Linked DNA regions of Rattus norvegicus. The protein of the gene in region 1 interacts with the protein of each later gene in a pairwise test. Links are inferred from orthologs where the notes say so. Each region holds a gene or a part of one and is shown in the gene's direction. Other genes may lie near its edges.

Region 1 (3,572 bases):
TTTAGTGGCAAGAGTCTACCCACTGAGCCCTCTTGCCCTCTCCCCTCTAACCTCTCTGCTCCCCACCTCCATTCTTAAGCATCTCCCGTGTTCCCTGGCTTTGGAGGCCCGCCCCCCCGCCCCGTGTCCTTACTCACTGATATCCTGCTCTTTCTAGCCCGTTCACCTCCTTGGTGGCTCTACCTGTCAGCACCTCCTGCATCCAGATCTTGGCCAGGGAATGGAAAATTCCCAGCTCCCTTTCTGATGGCCGGGCCTCATGCAAGGGTCACCTTGGACTGAGTATAGATTCCCCCTGTAGGAAAGCAGGTTGAAGTTGACAGCCAGTGGGGAGGGATTACAAAAGTGACAGCAGTGTATGAATGGAGCCAAGTGGCACCCTGACTGGGGGGGGGGGGGCGGTGGTGAGGGGAGGGACGACACAGGGCTGGAGACCCTGGTGTCCTTGGGGAAAGCAGAAAGGAAGCTTAGGTAACCGAAACAAAAGCCTGCCTCCTCTGGTCCGGCAGCCAAAGGGAAGACATTGCAGCCTGGGGCAGGCAAGGAGACCCTAGAAAGTCCTGAGTGAGCAGAGGGGCTTGAGTAAGAAGCAGATTCTCTAACCTGGTGCCAGTCAGGAGCCTGAGCCCTGGGGCATTTGAGCCAGGCGTGAGTTGCCCTCTGGTGGCCACTGCTCAAAACTGCAGCCAGGCCTGCCCCTTAACTGGGTCATTACCTGACTACTGATTTAAAGTCTCTGCGTCTCTGTCCAGTGTCCCATGTTCAGCCGTACCTTTTTTTTTTCTTCCTTTTCTTAAGCTCTGACTCACTGCAAGACCTCCATACCCAGGTCTCAGGTCCCGTATGTGGCTGCCTTTGATTTATAGGGTTCCTAATATGGTGGTGGGGTTCTGTTGCTATGGTAACCTTTCCTAATTCTCTCCTTCATTGAAGTGGGGGACCCTCTGTCCCACGTTTTAAGAGCCACCTAAGATACATATATTTCTACCCTGCCCCCTTTGTCTGTCCCCTTTCTCAAAGTTGAGGGAGACCATGGTTAATCCAGACAGGGCAGAAAGGGAGGCATAGGTTGGGGACATGCGTCCTAGGGTCTCACCTTCAAGCCCCTCCCCATGCCAGCCTTCTTGCTTCACAGCCCCTCCCCCAACCCTTACCAGCTGACTTCACCTCCCCTTCCCCTCCAGTCTGGGAGTGGTGCCAGGGTGAGAAGGGGACACTGGCACAGACCATGTGTGTCTGGGAATTCCCGCCCACTGTGGAGCCAAGGGAGGGGGTCCCCGTGTCCCCGAGGAGCCAATGGCAGCTGTGCCTTGCCCTGAGGGGGAGGGCAGGGTGTATATCTCTCAGAGCAGCAGTCTGTAGGTCCGGTCTCCTCTCTGCCTGCTTGGCATCCATTGCAGAACTCTACTGTGCCCAGGGGGGCTCTGGGCCCCCCAGGCATTCTGCCTGTCACAGCCTTTTGGTTGGGAGTGGATACTGATGACCCTTACCTCAGGAATGTCCCAGCCAGGGGTCTCTGTGAAGTCCTTGGTATCATCTTATGAGACTCGAGTGGTAGGGATGGCACAAGGGACACCCCGAAAAAGGGGCTGCGTGTCTTCCCCATGCTCCCCACGGGGGTCATCCCCAATCCGAGGGCCGTCGGGACCTCCTTCCCACCAGGGCCTGGGGGGGCCTGGGCACCGACCTTCATCCCGCTGTGGGGTGGACAAAAGCCTCCTACCTCTCATCGTCTACTGCCACAGGTACTTGGGTGGGGTGGGCATAGGCTGGGCTTTTAGAGCAGGGAGCACCAGAAGACTGTAGCAGAGTTGACTTGGGGTTCCTCCTCAACTTGTATCCCCACCCCCACCCCCATGTCTCTCCAGTGGTTCCGGAAGCCTGGTTGGCATTGACAACAAGATTGAACAAGCCATGGTAAGAGAAGATGCTTGGCCCCAGGAGGCCCCTTAGTGTCCCTAGCACCTCTCCCCTCCCATTACTTGGGAATGAAAATTTTCCAGTTAGTTACAGACACCCCCCCTCTCTGCTTCTACTTTTCTACCTTTGGCTTCCCTCAACCTCTGCTCATCCCTGTCTGTGAGCCCTGTCCCTCATCCTTTGCCTGCTGCCCCGTTTCTCCTTTAACCTCCATCCCCCCTCCTTTGAGCAAAGGGAGATGGGTATCATAACCACTTCCTTGAGGTGCCTGGGTTGGGAGAGGCAGTTGGAGGTGGCCTGAGGGGCCTGAAGGTTTGTTTGTCCCTGGGGTCCAGGACTTGGTGAAGTCCCACCTCATGTTTGCCGTGCGAGAGGAGGTGGAGGTGCTGAAGGAGCAGATCCGGGACCTGGCAGAGCGGAATGCTGCACTGGAGCAGGAAAATGGATTGCTGCGTGCCCTGGCCAGCCCGGAGCAGCTGGCCCAGCTGCCATCCTCGGGGCTCCCAAGGCTCGGGCCCTCTGCACCCAATGGGCCTTCCATCTGAGCCTTCTTTCCCTCACAATGTGCCTTTGGGGGCTGCCACTGGCCGCCGGGCCTTGTGCCAGCAGCCTGCCCCCTCTTCCTATGTAGCTTTAATGCCCACGCCCGACCCCAATGCCCAGGGATGGGAGTTGAGGCTAAATATTGGCCTGTCCCTTCCCACCTGGTCTCCCCAGAAGCCTCAGGCCTTGCCGGAAGAGAAAGAACCCAGGAGGGGATGTTTATCTGAAGCCCCTCATCCATGAAAGAACCCAGCCCCACCTCCTTCCCTGGGAATCAGTGTTCTGGGGAGCCCCTCAGCAGCAGATGGCTCAGAAAGATTTGGAGGTTCCCTGGCAGGCCCCCTCACCATCCCACCTTGTTCTCTTCAAGTGCCCCCTCTCCTCTGCCCAGGGAGGGGGTATGGACAGTATCTTCAACTTCTTGGATTCAGGTTGTTATTAAAATAATAATTATAATTAAAAAAAAATCTGAAGAAACTTGAATATGGAGGTTGGTGTGCTGTTGCCGTGTCCAGCTATATAGTTACCCTGTCCCCAACACACACTCTCATCACGCTCATGTGGGTACACACACAGCGAATCCCAGTCACCCTGGAGAAGATACCAGAAAATGGCTTGGTAATGGTCTTGGTCCCTGGAAAGGCCTGGCAGGGTGACCTAAGGAAAGAGGTAGGGGGCGGTGTCTACCCATGTGCTGGTGGTTGGCGGTGTGAGGAGGGGAGATAACAATGGAGTCTTTGGTGAGTGTGAGGATCCACCCCCAGCTTCCCAGTGTGTCCCCTCTTGTGGACTGGATCTGGGCGGCTGCTTGGAGGCAGGGCAGGGAACCCTGAATGGGCCCCTTGTCTTAAGGCTGGGTGTGGGCCAGGCTCTTTGGGCACATGGTGCCCTCGCCAGGCCTGGCAGGCTGCCTTGGCTTCTACCCCACCCCTTGCTGGATGAGGACTAGGCCCAGTGGGTGAGCAGGCTCCTCCCTGACAGCCTGGGCTTCTCTCCCAGACAGACAGAACCAGCCAAGAAGGGCCCCATCTAGTGGGGGGGAAGGCATCAGCAGTTAGAACTTTGAGGGAGAATGTCTTGTCTCTGGGCATCAGAGAGGAACTCCTAGC
Region 2 (4,415 bases), on another chromosome or scaffold:
CCTGTTCAAACATTCTTTCCCTAAACAATGCATAGCAAGAGTTTACAAAATTGTGAGGCAAAGTAAATTCGAGAAACTGAGTTTTCAAGTATTTTATAGTATTGCTTTTGATAAAAGGGGAGGGAGGTAATGTTAAACCAAGTGGCCAAAAGTTAATAGGTAAGACCATCGAAGATTCCAGATTTTTTTATGTTACTGTGATAAATTAGATTAAGTCCAAACACACTTGGGAAGAAAGAGCTTGGTACCTCAGTTTTATCTATGCCACCATTTCATTCTTCCTCGTATGTCACAATTTCTTTCTCTGATGTATCCCTTATACAACCTCCCTGGCATCTATTTAATTCAGGCTCTAAACTTCTTAAACCTGCACATTACAGTATTTCTAATAGTCAACTGGTTTCAAAATGCAGTCTGAGTACCAGCATTAGAAGCATTTAGGATACTTGGAAGATGTGCTATCTCCTGGACCCAATACACTGTACAATATAAAAACTGTCACATGAATCTCATGTATAATCTTATATGCTCAGGTATAGGCCTTAAATACTCAAAAAGAAACATATGACTAAAAGACTTAAAAGCAGGCTAATTGCAAAGAAAGGAAATCAAGAAGCCCTATCATTTAAATCTGATGTGAACTTATAAAATGTATGTAGTAATAGAAAACTAAAGACATTTCTAAATGATTATTACAGTGTGTGTCTGTGTGTTTGTGTATGTGCATGCGCGCGCGCGCGCGCGCGCGCGCGCGTGTGTGTGTGTGTGTGTGTGTGTGTGCATGTGCCTTGCCTCTCTCCTCCAGACATGTTGCAGACTTGGTGACAAGCATCTTTACTCACTAAGCTTCTGTTCGACCTAGTTCCCCTCATCTTATTTCTCCAGAAAAGTTGCATTTACACACACACACACACACACACACACACACACACACACACACACACACAAAACAAACAAAAAAAAAAATTAGGCTCTCCCAGACTTGAAACTATGCTCAAAGCTGAGCCTGTGCTTCAGGGATGCTCAGACCACGGGTGTGGCAGGTAGGTAACCCCACTACCATCTCAGATCCTCTTCTAGGCCACCTTATCAGAGGTCCCGCCCACTAAGGACCCTCCTGGGTACCAGGAACTGGAACCATACGCCCGAACCACTCTACGCCTGCGCATTCGGTCTGCCAGAGAGGGTGGAGCCAGGGCCGGATACAAGTCGCTTTGGGCGGGACTTAGGGTCAGCTCATCTGCGGTGCAACTGGGCTTACGGCGGAAGTAGCGTTATGGAGCGAAATGTTGAAAAGAGACCCGGTTCCCTAATGTGGGAGGGGCTTAGAAAAAACCGGAAGCATGAGGCGGGCTCAGGAAGGGATTCCGAGTTAAAAGACAGGGTTGGGGCCGGAAACTGGCGACGTAGGTGGGGTTTAAGGCTCGTTGCGCCTGCGCACAGAGCGACCGGCGGGATTCGTAGTTACTTTTGAACCGGGTGGCGGGGAATAGCTAGAGGAGCCATTAGGGCGCCATCTACGGAGGGGTTGACAGTGTTCTCCGTTCGATCTAGTGATGGCACAGCAGCTCGCCCGGGACCAAGGCATCACCCTGCGTGGGAGCGCAGAAATCGTCGCCGAGTTTTTTTGTGAGTGCTGAGCGCGGACCCTGCAGCCAAAGATAAGCTGCCTGGGCCGGGCCTTAGGACGTGTGCTAGAGCGGAACCACCGGATCCTCCCGGGGGCGGGGAACGCAGGCCTGTGCCTCCTGGAATGAAACGGGGCTGGCCTGGGGCATCATCTCACTCGCTCTTTGAAAGCTGGTGGTCTGCGTTGACATCTGAACCACATACTCTGTGTTTACATTTAGCGACCCGGTGAAATTCGACATTGCTGGGTTAAAGGTTTTCCGTGTTGTTTTGTCCCTACTCTGATTTCTGGAAGAGTTTAAAACGTTAATACATGTTTATGGCTTTATTTCTTTCGCTTTCAGCATTTGGCATCAACAGCATTTTGTATCAGCGTGGCATTTATCCGTCGGAAACCTTTACTCGAGTGCAGAAATATGGACTCACCTTGCTTGTAACTACTGACCCCGAGCTCATAAAGTATCTCAATAATGTGGTAGAGCAGCTAAAAGGTAATCACGTTTTGAGTTTTACACCTTACAAGTTTGCATTTGTAAGTGTCCCAAGTAGCTTAAAGCAACAGGCCTTCTCAAATGTGATTCTGAATTGGGAGAAAGCAAGTGATGGAGGGAATTTCCACCTCTTCTGTTTTTTAAGTAGGCTGAATGTCTTGATGTTAGGCATCTTAGAAAAGCTGCTTTAGAAATGGGTTTTATAGGTTAACCAGGTGCAACAAATTGGAAATTTTACCCAATTAAAATGATCTCATCTTTCTGTGTTTTGCTCTGTATCTCCCAATGTAATCTTACAAAATACCAATTCTAAAAGCATTGCAACTACCCTTTTTTCCCCTTTGAGTTTTATGTGTATGGGTGGTTGGTTTGTTTTAATTGTTTTCATTATAGTATTTGTTGCCTTTTTGTTAACTTCAGCATTAAAATGGCCTTTTGGTGACCACCTGAACATGGTTAACTTAACAACTCTCTTTAAGGCCGTTTTGTTTTGTTTTGCTTTTGAGATAGGTCTCTATAGCTCTGGCTGTCCTTGAACTTGCGATGTAGACCAGATTGAACTCAGAAAGATCAGCCTGGGTCTACCCCCTCCGAGTTCTGGGACTAAAAGGCATTTGCCACCGTGCCCAGCTTAAGGCCATACTTTTAAACATTCCTTGCAATTCGTATCCATAATAGAGTATCCATCAACACTTGTGCAAGTTGGGTATGAATTCACAGGCAAAAGAGGTAGGGTTTTTAAGCATAAGATCTGCTTTGAATTCTGGTGTCTGGATCGATCCTCTTTTAATCCCCTTCAGTTCACTTACTACCAAGGATGATAGTTTAAAAACACAAGGCTAATTGGTCATGCTGCTTAAAACACAGTTGTGGCTTTCCTAATTCTTAAAAGTATAGTTTCATTAATTTAACACTTAAGATTTTGTGTAGCATCTTGATTTTTCATAATTCTGTAATTAATTGACTTTATTAAAAAGCATGTACTTTGCAATAGTCTGCATACATATACATACATACATAGATACATATGCACGCCCTTGCCATTTAAAGCCTGTATTTGCCTCTCCTTTGTACATTTAATGTAAAAACAAATCCTTCCCTCACCTACCAGAGTAGTGAGATTTTTCTTGTGCTCTTATACTATCGCTCTGTTCTGACCAGCCACCACAGATGTGACTGGCAGTGGTTAGATTAAAGCCTATGTCCTATGTTCTTTCTGTGAATCGCAGTGAAGTACAAGTTCACGGCTCCGTGATGCACTGGCTTCCACCTACTAGTAATGTGGAGAATTTAAAACTTGATTAAATTGTTAGTGAAGAATTTTCTTCCTTGTGTATGAAAGGAAGGCAAAATACCACTGTGAGGATTTTGTAGGCGGGAAAGTGGGTCTTGAGCAGAGCGTCTCTGCCATAGGTTAGAGAGTAAGAGCTGCCTTGTGTGAGTCTCTGCCATAGCTTAGAGAGTAAGAGCTGCCTTGTGGGAGTGTCTGCCATAGCTTAGAGAGTAAGAGCTGTCTTGTGTGTGTCTCTGCCATAGCTTAGAGTGTAAGAGCTGCCTTGTGTGAGTCCCTGCCATAGGTTAGAGAGTAAGAGCTGCCTTGTGGGGAGTCTCTGCCATAGGTTAGAGAGTAAGAGCTGCCTTGTGTGAGTCTCTGCCATAGCTTAGAGAGTAAGAGCTGCCTTGTGTGAGTCTCTGCCATAGGTTAGAGTGTAAGAGCTGCCTTGTGGGAGTCTCTGCCATAGCTTAGAGTGTAAGAGCTGCCTTGTGTGAGTCCCTGCCATAGGTTAGAGTGTAAGAGCTGCCTTGTGGGAGTCTCTGCCATAGCTTAGAGTGTAAGAGCTGCCTTGTGGGAGTCTCTGCCATAGCTTAGAGTGTAAGAGCTGCCTTGTGTGAGTCTCTGCCATAGCTTAGAGAGTAAGAGCTGCCTTGTGGGAGTCTCTGCCATAGGTTAGAGAGTAAGAGCTGCCTTGTGGGAGTGTCTGCCATAGCTTAGAGTGTAAGAGCTGCCTTGTGGGAGTCTCTGCCATAGCTTAGAGTGTAAGAGCTGCCTTGTGTGTTGCAGAGTGGTTGTACAAGTGCTCCGTTCAGAAACTGGTAGTGGTCATCTCGAATATTGAAAGTGGCGAGGTCCTTGAAAGATGGCAGTTTGATATTGAGTGTGACAAAACGGCCAAAGAAGAAGGGTAAGTATGAACTGAATTGTTCCTGCTTTAATTTGCTTTTGTAATTTCTGTTGCTGCATGAGTTCACATTGTATTGAACTGATATCTTCCAGTTACTGTCTAGGGTATGTTT
Region 3 (4,509 bases), on another chromosome or scaffold:
CACACACCACTACCACCACCACCACAGTCTCACACACACACACACACACACACCACTACCACCACCACCACACTCACATACACACACACACACACCACTACCACCACCATCACAGTCACACACACACACACACACACACACACACAGAGCCTTTTAACATGCCTTAAGCAGCACGATAGCTGGGTGACTGCATCTATGCTGCTAGAATCTAGCTCCCGCCGATAATTCCGAGTTACTACTTACTCATTTCTATATTCAGTCTTGGCTGCTCTAACTCCAATTAGTCAGCCGTCTGGGTCACGTTTTTCTTGGCCCAGAGCCGGGGTGTTCTCCTTGCCTTTCTACTCCATGGCAGACTCTGTCCTCTCGTCACACTCTTCTAAAGTATGGTGGATCTCTTTTCTTCTCCTCCCAGTCTCAAGCTGGGGGAATCCTAGAATCCCGCCTCTGTCTGTCCTTCCCAGCTACTGGCTTCTGGCATGTTTATTTACCAATCAGAACCAGCTCCGGACAGGTTCCCAGAAGCTATGTGTAGACCCTCTAGTGAAAACAGTTTTTTGGGGGAACATAATTAGGATTCGCAAAATAAGGGTTCATGATTCACTGAAGGATGATACCCAGACTCAAATAGTATGTAAATGCTCTTATCCTGCAGAAGTCCAGCATGCTGGAGTCTCCCATTACCAAGATAGAAAGACCCAGAAGTAAGCTCACAGGCCTGATTTAAAGCACGTTAGGGGAATTCTGGGATAGGAGCCTGTCATGGAATCAGCCTACCCATCTCAGTAATACAAGCAGTTACATCGGTGCTGATCTCTGGTCTTGTCTTGGGTTTCTGTTACCCTCTGTGGTTCTTAGGAGAGCGTGGTGGTTCTGTGTTGCCTCATAGGGAAGTCCACGGTGATTCCAGGCAAAACGTTTTTTCTAGGTGCTGACATTTAGGGAAAGGGATGGGTAGGAGGGCAGGGTGAAGCTGTCCGCAGGATGAAAGCTTGGTTTTCCATGGGGATCTGTTTAGTCCCTTGGGAAGGGGGAGGGAGGTAGAGAGTAAGGAGAGACAGCGGCAGGTGGGTCTGCTACGAACTGGGGATGAGACTCTACGAACTGGGGATGAGACTTGGGGATTGGGACTCAGGCATGGAGGGAGATATGAAGGTCTGCGGTTAGCCTCCCTGCCTCGAGTGCACAATTTCTTCTTTTTCCGAATTTTGACACTATTTATTTATTTCTTTGCTGGGGTTTTACTATGCTTCCCAGGCGATCTAGAATGCCTTGACTCAAGGGATTCTCTTGCTTTAGCCTCTGACTGGTGACACTAGTAGCCTGTGCTACTGTGCTGGGATACCTTGCCAGTTTGAAACACTGAGTAGCTCTGTGTACACTGTTTTTGTAGCGTGTGTATGAGTGAATTCTTGTTCTTGTTTTTCTATAATCCTGGCCATCTGTCCTTCCTTTGAATGGTAGTCCACTTCTGTTCTTACGTCTAGACCTTGTCCTGATAAGTCTCGTTCTGGTTTCATCCAGTGTAGAGAATTTAGACAGGATTCCAAGGCAGAGAATCAATATATCGTAAAGGACAATTGGGAGTGGTTTTTGATGATGTAATAGAGGGGAAGGAGCTTTGCTCTCCTGAGGAGCGTGTGAGGCACATTTAAAGGCTGTAGTTTCAGCGGGCGAGAGGTTTAGTGGATAGGAAGTGGTCCAGTCTTTTCTTTCATCTTGTTTATTACGTGTGTTTATGTATATATGTGTGTATTATCGAACTCAGGGCCCCGCATCTGCAGCCCAGGGTTTAGAACTACCAAGAAGAAACAGACATTTGACAATACTTCTTAGAGATGCTCTGAGGTAATATCTTCAGAACGAGAGGTTTGTGGGTAGGGGAAGGAGGGCTAAGCAGCGCCAATTCAGCTCAGCGACCGTTAGTGGAAGGCCACGTAGAGCGGGAAAAAGGCGCCAAAAAACGCAGCCAAGAGCGAGGGGGCCGATGGGATATGCACGAGAGTGTTTGAACACCGAAACAGACCAATCACAAAGTATGACTCAATCTATTTGCATAAAGAGGGCGGGGCAGTGTGTGCGGGACAGACCAATCACAGAACATGACTAGCTGTGACAGAGCCCTGAACCTCGCCTTCCGGCCTTGGGCCGTTGGGCCGCCAGAGACGAGCAAGCTTTTCGGTTGCGGGACAGCAGAAACCTCTCTCCTTAACAACGTTTCTCCTGGATTTTCAGCTTCCTCAACTTCCCTGTACTTTTAGGTAATATGTAATGGGCATAGTTGTCTGGAAAAAAGTGTCTTTTTAAGAAATTAGAGAATAAAGGGTGGAGTATTAAAATATTTTCTTGTTCAATAGGCTGGATCCGGACATTTAATACATGGATGGCATTGCTGACCTTAGCATCATGGACTTTAAAGGTAACCAAGCTTTGCATGGTAACAGTTATTTTATGGCTGACTGAAATTCTCAATCGTGGTTGCTGCATCAGCTGCTCTTTTGGATTTTAGGTGTTGTTCCTTCACGGAATCCATGTCTGAATCGTCCAGACAATTTTTAGGTGCCACATCCACCCAGTCCTGGTGGTATTTTGTCTCTTAGCCTTGGCACTCCAGTTATTCTTTCTCTTGAGCTTGGCAGGGTAGCCACATTTGCCACAGACCAACTTCTGAAAGTGGTAGTTCTTAGAGCCACAGCGGCCGGTGGTACAATGTGTGTGGTACAATGTGTGCATCTTATTGGGACGCTTTCCAGACGACGGTGTTCTTTTGTCATGTTGCTTCTACCTCCAAGGCCAAAGAGGCCAGAAGAGCCCCTCTCTCTGACTCAGAACTTTATGTAGCTCAGGCTATCCTCAAATTCGCAATCTTCCTAGGTCAGCTTCCAGAGTGCAGGTGTCAAACACCGCACCTGACATATACTCCCAACATTTGTAACACTGAGGCTGGAGAAATACCTCAAATATTGTTTCACAAAGCAAAACAAAAAGAAAACAAGCTGGGAGGTAGCTCCGAGGCAGTGTTTGCCTTCCACATGTGAAGCCCTGGGTTGGGGGTCCAGCACTTCAGAGGTACACATGCAGGTTTGTCTCTTAAGTTTCTTTTCAGAGTATTCAGTGCTCCAGTTTTTCTCATTTATGTACCAGAAATAATATTTGGAACTTTTTATGAACTAGTGTAAGGAAACAAAATTCACAATCCACAGCTTATTTTCTGGTCATAATCTATAGCTTTTCCCAGGTATTTTAGGAGATGCAGAATTATACTGTTTAACCTGAAAAGTACTATGTTAAAAGTACATTTAAAAAGTTGTTGCAAGCAGATGGGCATGTAATACTATAAATTTATTCTTGGAGACCATGTGGCTGGTTCACATTTTATCTTGTCCTAATAGTAAGGCCTACATAAGGGCAGTTAGCTTGCCTCTAGGGCAGGGGTTTGAAGGAGTACATTGGCTTCTGTAGTATCAAGACAACTCAGCACGGTATGTTCTGCTTGTAAAAATGATTTTTTCAGAAAACTGCTGTCATCCACAAGCCATTCAACATCAGGGCGATAAAAAAGTTTATCTTTAAGAAATTTAAAATTTATTTATTGTTTTAAAAAATCACTGTAAGGGCAGGTGAGATGGCTTAGCCAGTAAAGATGCTTGCCCCCAAGGCTGATGACCTGAGTTGATCACTGAGACCCATATGGTGGAAGGAGAGAAGCAGATCTGGACGATTGTCTTCTGTCCTCTATACTGGTGACATGTTATGTGCATGTGTGTGGTAAGCGCGCGCGCGCACACGCGCGCGCGCGCACACGCGCGCGCGCGCACACACACACACACAAGTAATTCCTGCAAGATAGGAGGCTAGTTTGAGGCAGTATAATGACACCATGCCTCGAGTAAGCAAACAGCATTGCCACGCTTCACATAACACCTTTTCCTATGGTTAATTTGGAGACAAATTCTTATTTTCCTTTCTTTGGATTTTTAGCTTCTTCAGTTTGTTGTTATATAAATGCCCTTGTAACTTATTTTAATATCCGAGTTTAGATTTTCTTTTACTGATATATTTATGATTGTTTATTCCATAAAGTCTTCAGAAAATAGAGCTGGGTGTGTAATCTCAGCACCCAGAGGCTAACACAGGAGGATTGTGAGTTTAAGGGTATCCTGAACTACGTAGTGAATTTGAGGCCCACTTAGCATATATAATGAAACTGCCAAAAATGTATAAAAAATCTTGAATATAGTTGTAGTCAATACCAGCCCTGTCTAGTAGAAATTAATGAGCTACATATTTAATTTAAAATATTCTAGTAGACACATTAGACTGCATAAGGAATTAGATGAAATTAATTTTTTAAAAAAGATTCATTTATTTTTATTTTATATGCAAGGGTATTTTGACTGCATGTCTGTCTGTGCACCGCCTGTGTGCCTGATGTCTGCAGTGGTCAGAAGAAGGTGTCAGGTTTTCTGCAACAGATGGTTAATCCCAGCACTTGGGTGGCAGAGGCAG
Region 4 (2,272 bases), on another chromosome or scaffold:
TTTTTTCTTTTTTCTTTCTTTCTTTTTTTTTCCGGTGCTGGGGACCAAACCCAGGGCCTTGCGCTTGCTAAGCAAGCGTTCTACCACTGAGCTAAATCCCCAACCCCAGGACGACACACTCTCAAAGTGAACACAACACCTCATTCTCCTCCCCAGGCAAGCTGCAGCATTTTGAGAGTGGCCGATGGCAGACAGTGGCCCCCTCAGAGCATCAAAAGCTGAACAAACTGGATGGGCAAGTATGGATCGCCTTGTACAATCTACTGCTCAGTCCTGAGGCCCGAACCCGTTACTGCCTTACAAACTTTGCCAAGGGACAGCTGCTTAAGGTGGAGAACTCAAAGACCCTACCCATCCCCACTGTGCCCCGCCCAGCCCCGCCCCGCCCCGCCCCCATAGCATCCCTGTCTGTCCCCGCCCTCTTTCCACCACTTGGGCTTCAGAGGACAAGGGAGTTGGAAAGATGCAAACCCTCCCAAGTACTCTCAGCCCCAACTTCAGGACTTCCTGTCTTTGGGCCCTCTGGCTAGGAACAGTTTCCCAATGGCCTTCCCTGGATACCTTGCAGCTTCAGGCCTTCCTCACCGACACACTGCTTGACCAGCTGCCCAACCTTGCTGATCTGAAGAGTTTCCTGGCCCACCTGGCCCTGGTTGAAACTCAACCCCCTAAGAAGGACCTAGTGTTAGAACAGGTGAGCCCCTAGAAATTGAGTGCTTGGGACCACGGTCCACTTTTCTGGTTCCTTCCTTCCTATCTCCATTACACTCTTTTAGATCCCAGAAATCTGGGATCGGCTGGAGCGAGAGAACAAAGGCAAGTGGCAGGCTATCGCCAAGCACCAGCTTCAGCACGTATTCAGCCTCTCCGAGAAGGATCTTCGCCAACAAGCACAGAGGTAAAGTCCCGCTAAGCGGCTCAAGTCACGTGCACAGGACGAAGAAGGGAAGGTCACGAGGGTTTCTGTGCTCCAACCTGCCAGGTCCATTCAGATCTTCTTGACTCCTCCCCCAGGTGGGCTGAAACCTACAGGCTGGACGTCCTAGAGGCTGTAGCTCCGGAGAGGCCCCGCTGTGCCTACTGCAGTGCCGAGGCCTCCAAGCGCTGCTCCAGATGCCAGAAAGTGTGGTATTGCTGCAGGTGAGAAGATCCTGGGACCTTAGTTTCCCCCTAAGCTCCAACCCTGGGTCTTCCCACGAGCCCATTGTCATGCAACCCACCTCGCTGCAGGGAGTGTCAAGTCAAGCACTGGGAGAAGCACGGAAAGACGTGTGTTCTAGCAGCCCAGGGTGACAGAGCCAAGTGAAGGCCAGTAGCTGCTGAGGGCCGACAGAAGAGTGCACCCAGAATGTGACTCTGAGCTTCAGGGACTCTTGCCTGGCCCCTGTCAGACCTCAATTTCCCTGGTTGAGGAGCACAGCTGAGTCAAGAAGAGCTGCAAACCACTACACAGAAGCGAAGGCTCTTCACTTCCTGCCCCACCCAGCAAATACGTAGAGGACCAGGCCACAGCATCAGCAAACTAGCAGACAGGGTTGGGGGGTTGTGAGCAAGGGCCGGATGTGGAGACCCTCTTCCTTTCTCACAATAAAGCAGACTCATGAAACGCATCAGTGTGGCGCTTGATAGTCATCCTTGGGGGCGGGGGAGAAGGGGCGATGGGGCGAAGACTGGAAGGAAAGACTGGGAAGGGGCTCTTTGAAAGGGCCCACCCCTGTGCTGTGCCCCGCCCACAAGTCCACACGGTCGGCTAGCCTGGGTTTCCAGCGCGTCCTCCTCGGCTCTTTCCCGCCGCCCTGCCTTGATCCTGGGGGCGGTGCCGAAGTCGCGGCCCGCCCTGCGGCCTCGCCCGCTACGAACTCACTAGCTGCTAGTCCGCTACAGCACCGGCCTGACCGGGCCATGTCGGCGGAGCCAGAACTCATTGAACTACGAGAGTTGGCACCGTCCGGGCGCATCGGTCCAGGCCGTACCCGGCTGGAGCGTGCCAACGCTCTGCGCATCGCGCCGGGCACAACACGCAATCCGTCACAGCAGCACGTCCCGGGTCGTGGCCACCGCTTCCAGCCTGCAGGGCCCACCACGCACACGTGGTGCGACCTCTGTGGAGACTTCATCTGGGGCGTCGTGCGCAAAGGCCTACAGTGCGCGCGTGAGTAGCGGCCCCACACAACCAGCGACTATGGAACGGGAGGTCAAAGGCAGCACCATAGTTGCGGGTCAAGCCGCAGCAGAGGGCTGGTCAGCAGTGATGATCCTGCAGACCAGATCC
Region 5 (4,383 bases), on another chromosome or scaffold:
TGAAAATGAGGTTGCCTAAGGATCCTCTATGCACATTTGAAACTGCTAGCTGAAATGTAAAGGTTGGTAGTGCTGACAGAAACTAATGGGAACTAAAGTAGCATGAACAGATATGTACTGAATGCTTGCTGTGGTTCAAGAGTTTTTATTGCTTTGGTGCCCAGGAGGCCGAAAGATTAATCTGGAGAGGAAGAGCATCATTTAAGACTAGAACAAACTTTGAAATGTCGTGCTATACATTATAGGTAAGTGCATCTCTTAATCCAACAGCAGAATTCTATTTTGTCTTTGTACAGTTGCGCTATTGCTTGTGCTGATCATGAACTCATGGCATTAGCCTTCGGAGTGATAGGATTACCGTATTCGACACTATGCTGGGTGAACAAAAAAGGTTGGCTTTTGTTTTTGAGACAGGGTTCCACTATGTAGCCCTCCCTGGTTGGCCTCGAATTCACAGAGATCTGTCTGGCATGCTTGTTGAAATTTTGTTTTTTAAAGCAAGCATTTTAAAAGTGAAGATAGAAAAAAATGAGTCTCTACAGGATTTCCATCTGAACCGGTGAACTAGGACTAATTAGTCCCCTTTCAGGACAGTAACGTTGTTGATTGTGGCACTCAGATTCAGATGATTCATCCTTCTTCCTTGATAATACATAGATAATGGCAGCATGAATTTTCATCCCTTAGATTTTGCCTTTAACTTTCCAAGATCAATGGCTTAACCCAAAATCTATTGTAATTATAACTCACAACCAATGTAAATTCTTTCCAAATACTTTTTCAAGGACAGTTTTTTTTTTTTTTTTGGTTCTTTTTTTCGGAACTGGGGACCGAACCCAGGGCCTTGCGCTTCCTAGGTAAGCGCTCTACCACTGAGCTAAATCCCCAGCCCCACAAGGACAGTTTTGATGGATCTTCTTACTTCGGATTCTATTTTGGGCTCATGCCAATTTAAATTTGAGTAACTTTTTTTTGTTTCATTTTCGCATTTGACAACTATCATTGATTAATTTCAATGAGTTCTCCCTTATGAGGGTCGAATCTGGTTATATGTTTAGGTAAATAATGTTATGCAAATCAGCAACTATTAGGTTTCATGTTAAGCGATTAAAAAAAGAAAAGCTTTCTGAAAATTTGATGACCCATGAACTGTCTCTTTCCCAAATGGGGAATGTGGGTGGGTTCATCCCTCGGATTGAGGCTGCGTCTTCCGTTCCTTTTGTCTTTTCGGAGGATTATGACTGTCATGGCGCTTTCAAGGAGAGAGAGGCCTTCCTTTCGTCCGGCAGAATTACTTGGGAGCACCTCGACTGGGCGGAGGATGGACAGAGAGACATGAAGACAACGCTGGCAAGCTGTCCGCCAGAGCCCTGCAAGGGAGGAGACGCGGCAGGAGACTGCCCTGAGAGCGCCTGTCTGTGGGAACCGCCCCCCGCTGCCCTGTCCAATGGAAACCTGGCGGCGGTGCGGCACCGCCCACTGTTGGTCCGGACGCCGCGAGGGCGGGGCCCGCAGTTCGGTTGCGCTGCGGAGCGCAGCTGTGAGGGAGTCGCTGCGATCCGAGGCCCCGGAACCCGAGCTGGAGCTGAAGCGCAGGCTGCGGGCGCGGAGTCGGGAGGTGAGCTCCGGAGAAAGAGGCCCTGGAGGGAGGGGCTCGCGGAAGGGCGGCAGGATCACCGGGTGCCGCGGGCCGGCGGGCCGCGGCCGGCGGGTGCTGTCCGGCGGCCCTGCTCTCTCGGGAGTCAGGCCCGACCTAGCCCGGCCCGTCGCAGCTGAGGGGCCACCTTGGCCCCAGGGCGCCGCCCGCCCTCCTGGTGTCTCCGGCGTGGCCGCGGCGGCCCGGAATTCTGCGGGCGCGGGTCGGGGGGCCCCGGCGTTCTCTTGGAACTCTGGCCGCGAGAGGCGGGGCAGGCGGCGCGGGCGGGGGCGGGGCGGGGGCGGGGCGGGGGCCCCTGCCCGAGGACCTGCGGAAGGAAGCGCGGCGTCCGGGCCCGGCCTGCTCGCGGGGCGGTGCGCCGAGCGCGGGGGCGTGGTCTGCGGCCTGACGGCGCGGCTAGGCTGGCCTTTGATGAGGTGGCTGTGGTGCTCAGTCTCCTGGCCGGCCACTGTCTGCTCGCTACCGCTTCCTTCCAAATACTGGCCGGGCGACCTGTTGACATGCTGAGGGCCTCCTGCCTCCGAGCTTGCTTTCTCTCCGACCGAGCAGTTCTGCTGACCTCAGAGGCTCTCTGGGTTTCCTCAGAGCGGCCTGTGGCTGCGAGCTATGCGGGGTGACGTGCAGAGGGCTTTCAACTAATAATGGAAGCCGAGAGAACAACTTTGCGAGAGATGACAGACAATGCCCTGGAGTGAATGTACTATGCACCCTCAGGGTAGCTAGAGGCTTCGAGGAGATTGCCCTCACCAATGTAAATGAGCTTTTCCATGTGTGATCCCTGTTAAAACTACCAGCAGCTCTGAGGCAGAACCCCCAGTGTTGCACAAGTTTCTGCATCTGTTGCGGGAGTGCTTGGAGATCTTTAGGCACTGCTCTTATTTTACCTCCTGGGACATGATTGGGGAGGGAAATGTACCTTCTGGGCATTTGTCGCTGGTGACAGTTCATCCTCTCTCCCAAGTGCAGTGTGAAGGGGCTGTCTGTGAACTTGGTCCAGTAGTTTTAGATTCCATAGGCTACAGCTTTGACATTCTAGAGTATCTTCTGTTGTATCTTGCTAGAATTTCACTTATCAGTTCAGATTGGAGGCACATCGTGTGAATGTAGCTGAAACAGACTTTATTTTCTTAGCTCCTTGATACAGACTTTATTTTCTTAGCTCCTTGATAGGGGAAGGAGGAAAAAGTGATCCTTAACTCATCTTTTTTTATTGGTTTATTAAGACATGCACGAAAATAATAGCTGTTTTGGCATACAGAGGAGACTTTCTAGGGTAGGCAAGGACTTTCCTTAGAAATTTAAAGTGGGGAAGTAGCCTACTAGATTTTTTTTCCTCCTGTAGTGCTGTGTTCTTTGAGTTTACTAGAACGTTAATACAAATCTCCCGATTCAGGTAAAACAGTATAGGCTGGAGAGAAATGTGTAGAAAGGGGCATCAGAGAGTTGTATGGCCATGTTGGTGTTGATTGCAGGTTTCAGATATTCTGAATTGACTTTGGAGTGCAAGTTTACTTTCCAGGGTATTGATTTTTTTATTAGGCAGCGCTTCCTTGAGCTAATCACACATAGGTTTCAGGTTTTTTTTTAATAGTCTCTATTCATTTGATTGTCCTATTATTATTATTATTATTATTATTATTATTATTATTATATGGGTTAATTAGAAACTTAGGTTTTTCTTAAAGCAACTCTGCCCCTGTAGAAATGTTATTGTTTAACACTTTGCTTATAAAAGCTATAGCTTGAATTATTTGTTCTGGAAAGAAGTAGCTGGTATCAGATCTAGTGCCTCAGAGATTGGGGAAGTCAAAGCCTTTGAGCAATGTAAATGAAAGGAAAGCTGGAAACATAAGGCTTTTGATTTTCTTTCTGAATTTGTGCTTAATTAAGTGCAGGCATTTCATTTATTTTAATTCACTGATCTCTCAAGCACCCTCCCATTCTGTGACCTATAGTAACCTACAAGTGTTACTAAACATTTAAGTGAGTAAATGAAAAGAAATGCTGTTAAACAGTACCCACTTGCCACATTCACACATCATGAGGAAGGTGAGGTCATTAGAGAAGGAAGTCATACCTGCCAGTCGCCTGGCCCAAAGGCAGTTTCTACCTATGTATAGGAAAAGTGGGTAATGCCACTGTTGGTTCTAGTAGAATAAGTCACCCTTGGGAGTTTTGGCCTGTTGGTTAAGGAAGATGTAGGCCCATAGGGCTGTCTGTCTCAGTGGAACATTCTAGAGTCGTATGCTCTGAGTAATGCCTGTACACCCTAGTTCTTAAGCACAGTGAAGATCGAGGCCCATGGAGAGCCAATGGGAAATATATTAATTGCAACACTATTTGCTGAGCAGGAGTGGGGTACCAGATTTTACCGTATATTTGGGTTTGACTAAAGTGGACTATATTGTCATTCATCTCATGTGCAGCACTTCGGGTGATCTTCAGTTAACTCCTCTTCTAGAAGCCAGAGAGTCATTCACATTTCAGTATTTAGGTAGGAGGAGATCTGATTTTAGATTTAAAGGAAACAAGGGAGATGTATTTTTTGAGGCTGAAGATGAAGTTAAGACTATTAAAGTTTTATACGTCTGTTTTTGACCTTTGTCTTCTGACTCTGCCCAACAAATGCAGGCTGAGTGTTCATTCCAGCATGTCGGAAGGGGAGTCCCAAACAGTAGTCAGCAGTGGCTCAGACCCAAAGGTAGAATCCTCATCTTCAGCTCCTG

What was found.
Region 2: the proteins of Tsc22d4 (region 1) and Mad2l1 interact in binary tests that used the Homo sapiens proteins (3 or more experiments, as listed by UniProt). The two-hybrid records come from large-scale screens. The link is inferred for Rattus norvegicus from reciprocal best matches to the Homo sapiens genes TSC22D4 and MAD2L1.
Region 3: the proteins of Tsc22d4 (region 1) and Tex11 interact in a two-hybrid assay, tested with the Homo sapiens proteins (2 studies listed by BioGRID and IntAct). The two-hybrid records come from large-scale screens. The link is inferred for Rattus norvegicus from reciprocal best matches to the Homo sapiens genes TSC22D4 and TEX11.
Region 4: the proteins of Tsc22d4 (region 1) and Zmynd10 interact in binary tests that used the Homo sapiens proteins (3 or more experiments, as listed by UniProt). The two-hybrid records come from large-scale screens. The link is inferred for Rattus norvegicus from reciprocal best matches to the Homo sapiens genes TSC22D4 and ZMYND10.
Region 5: the proteins of Tsc22d4 (region 1) and Nrbp1 interact in binary tests that used the Homo sapiens proteins (3 or more experiments, as listed by UniProt). The link is inferred for Rattus norvegicus from reciprocal best matches to the Homo sapiens genes TSC22D4 and NRBP1.

The regions. Positions count from the first base shown.
Region 1 is NC_086030.1:24,575,328-24,578,899, reverse strand, and holds the end of Tsc22d4 (TSC22 domain family protein 4), read left to right. Parts: intron 1-1,868; coding exon 1,869-1,917; intron 1,918-2,255; coding exon 2,256-2,465; 3' UTR 2,466-2,952; downstream 2,953-3,572.
Region 2 is NC_086022.1:97,235,067-97,239,481, forward strand, and holds the start of Mad2l1 (mitotic spindle assembly checkpoint protein MAD2A), read left to right. Parts: upstream 1-1,442; 5' UTR 1,443-1,556; coding exon 1,557-1,629; intron 1,630-1,973; coding exon 1,974-2,120; intron 2,121-4,182; coding exon 4,183-4,303; intron 4,304-4,415. UniProt on the Homo sapiens protein: Component of the spindle-assembly checkpoint that prevents the onset of anaphase until all chromosomes are properly aligned at the metaphase plate.
Region 3 is NC_086039.1:70,233,587-70,238,095, reverse strand, and holds the start of Tex11 (testis-expressed protein 11), read left to right. Parts: upstream 1-1,551; 5' UTR 1,552-2,261; intron 2,262-2,357; 5' UTR 2,358-2,379; coding exon 2,380-2,419; intron 2,420-4,509. UniProt on the Homo sapiens protein: Regulator of crossing-over during meiosis. Involved in initiation and/or maintenance of chromosome synapsis and formation of crossovers.
Region 4 is NC_086026.1:117,101,778-117,104,049, forward strand, and holds the end of Zmynd10 (zinc finger MYND domain-containing protein 10), read left to right. Parts: intron 1-156; coding exon 157-329; intron 330-536; exon of another isoform or gene 537-568; coding exon 569-694; intron 695-776; coding exon 777-898; intron 899-1,014; coding exon 1,015-1,140; intron 1,141-1,230; coding exon 1,231-1,306; 3' UTR 1,307-1,610; downstream 1,611-2,272. Other genes in the region: Rassf1 (ras association domain-containing protein 1), read left to right, coding at 1,903-2,152. UniProt on the Homo sapiens protein: Plays a role in axonemal structure organization and motility. Involved in axonemal pre-assembly of inner and outer dynein arms (IDA and ODA, respectively) for proper axoneme building for cilia motility.
Region 5 is NC_086024.1:30,850,279-30,854,661, reverse strand, and holds the start of Nrbp1 (nuclear receptor-binding protein), read left to right. Parts: upstream 1-1,553; 5' UTR 1,554-1,618; intron 1,619-4,288; 5' UTR 4,289-4,307; coding exon 4,308-4,383. UniProt on the Homo sapiens protein: Required for embryonic development. Plays a role in intestinal epithelial cell fate and proliferation, thereby involved in the architectural development of the intestine potentially via the regulation of Wnt-responsive genes.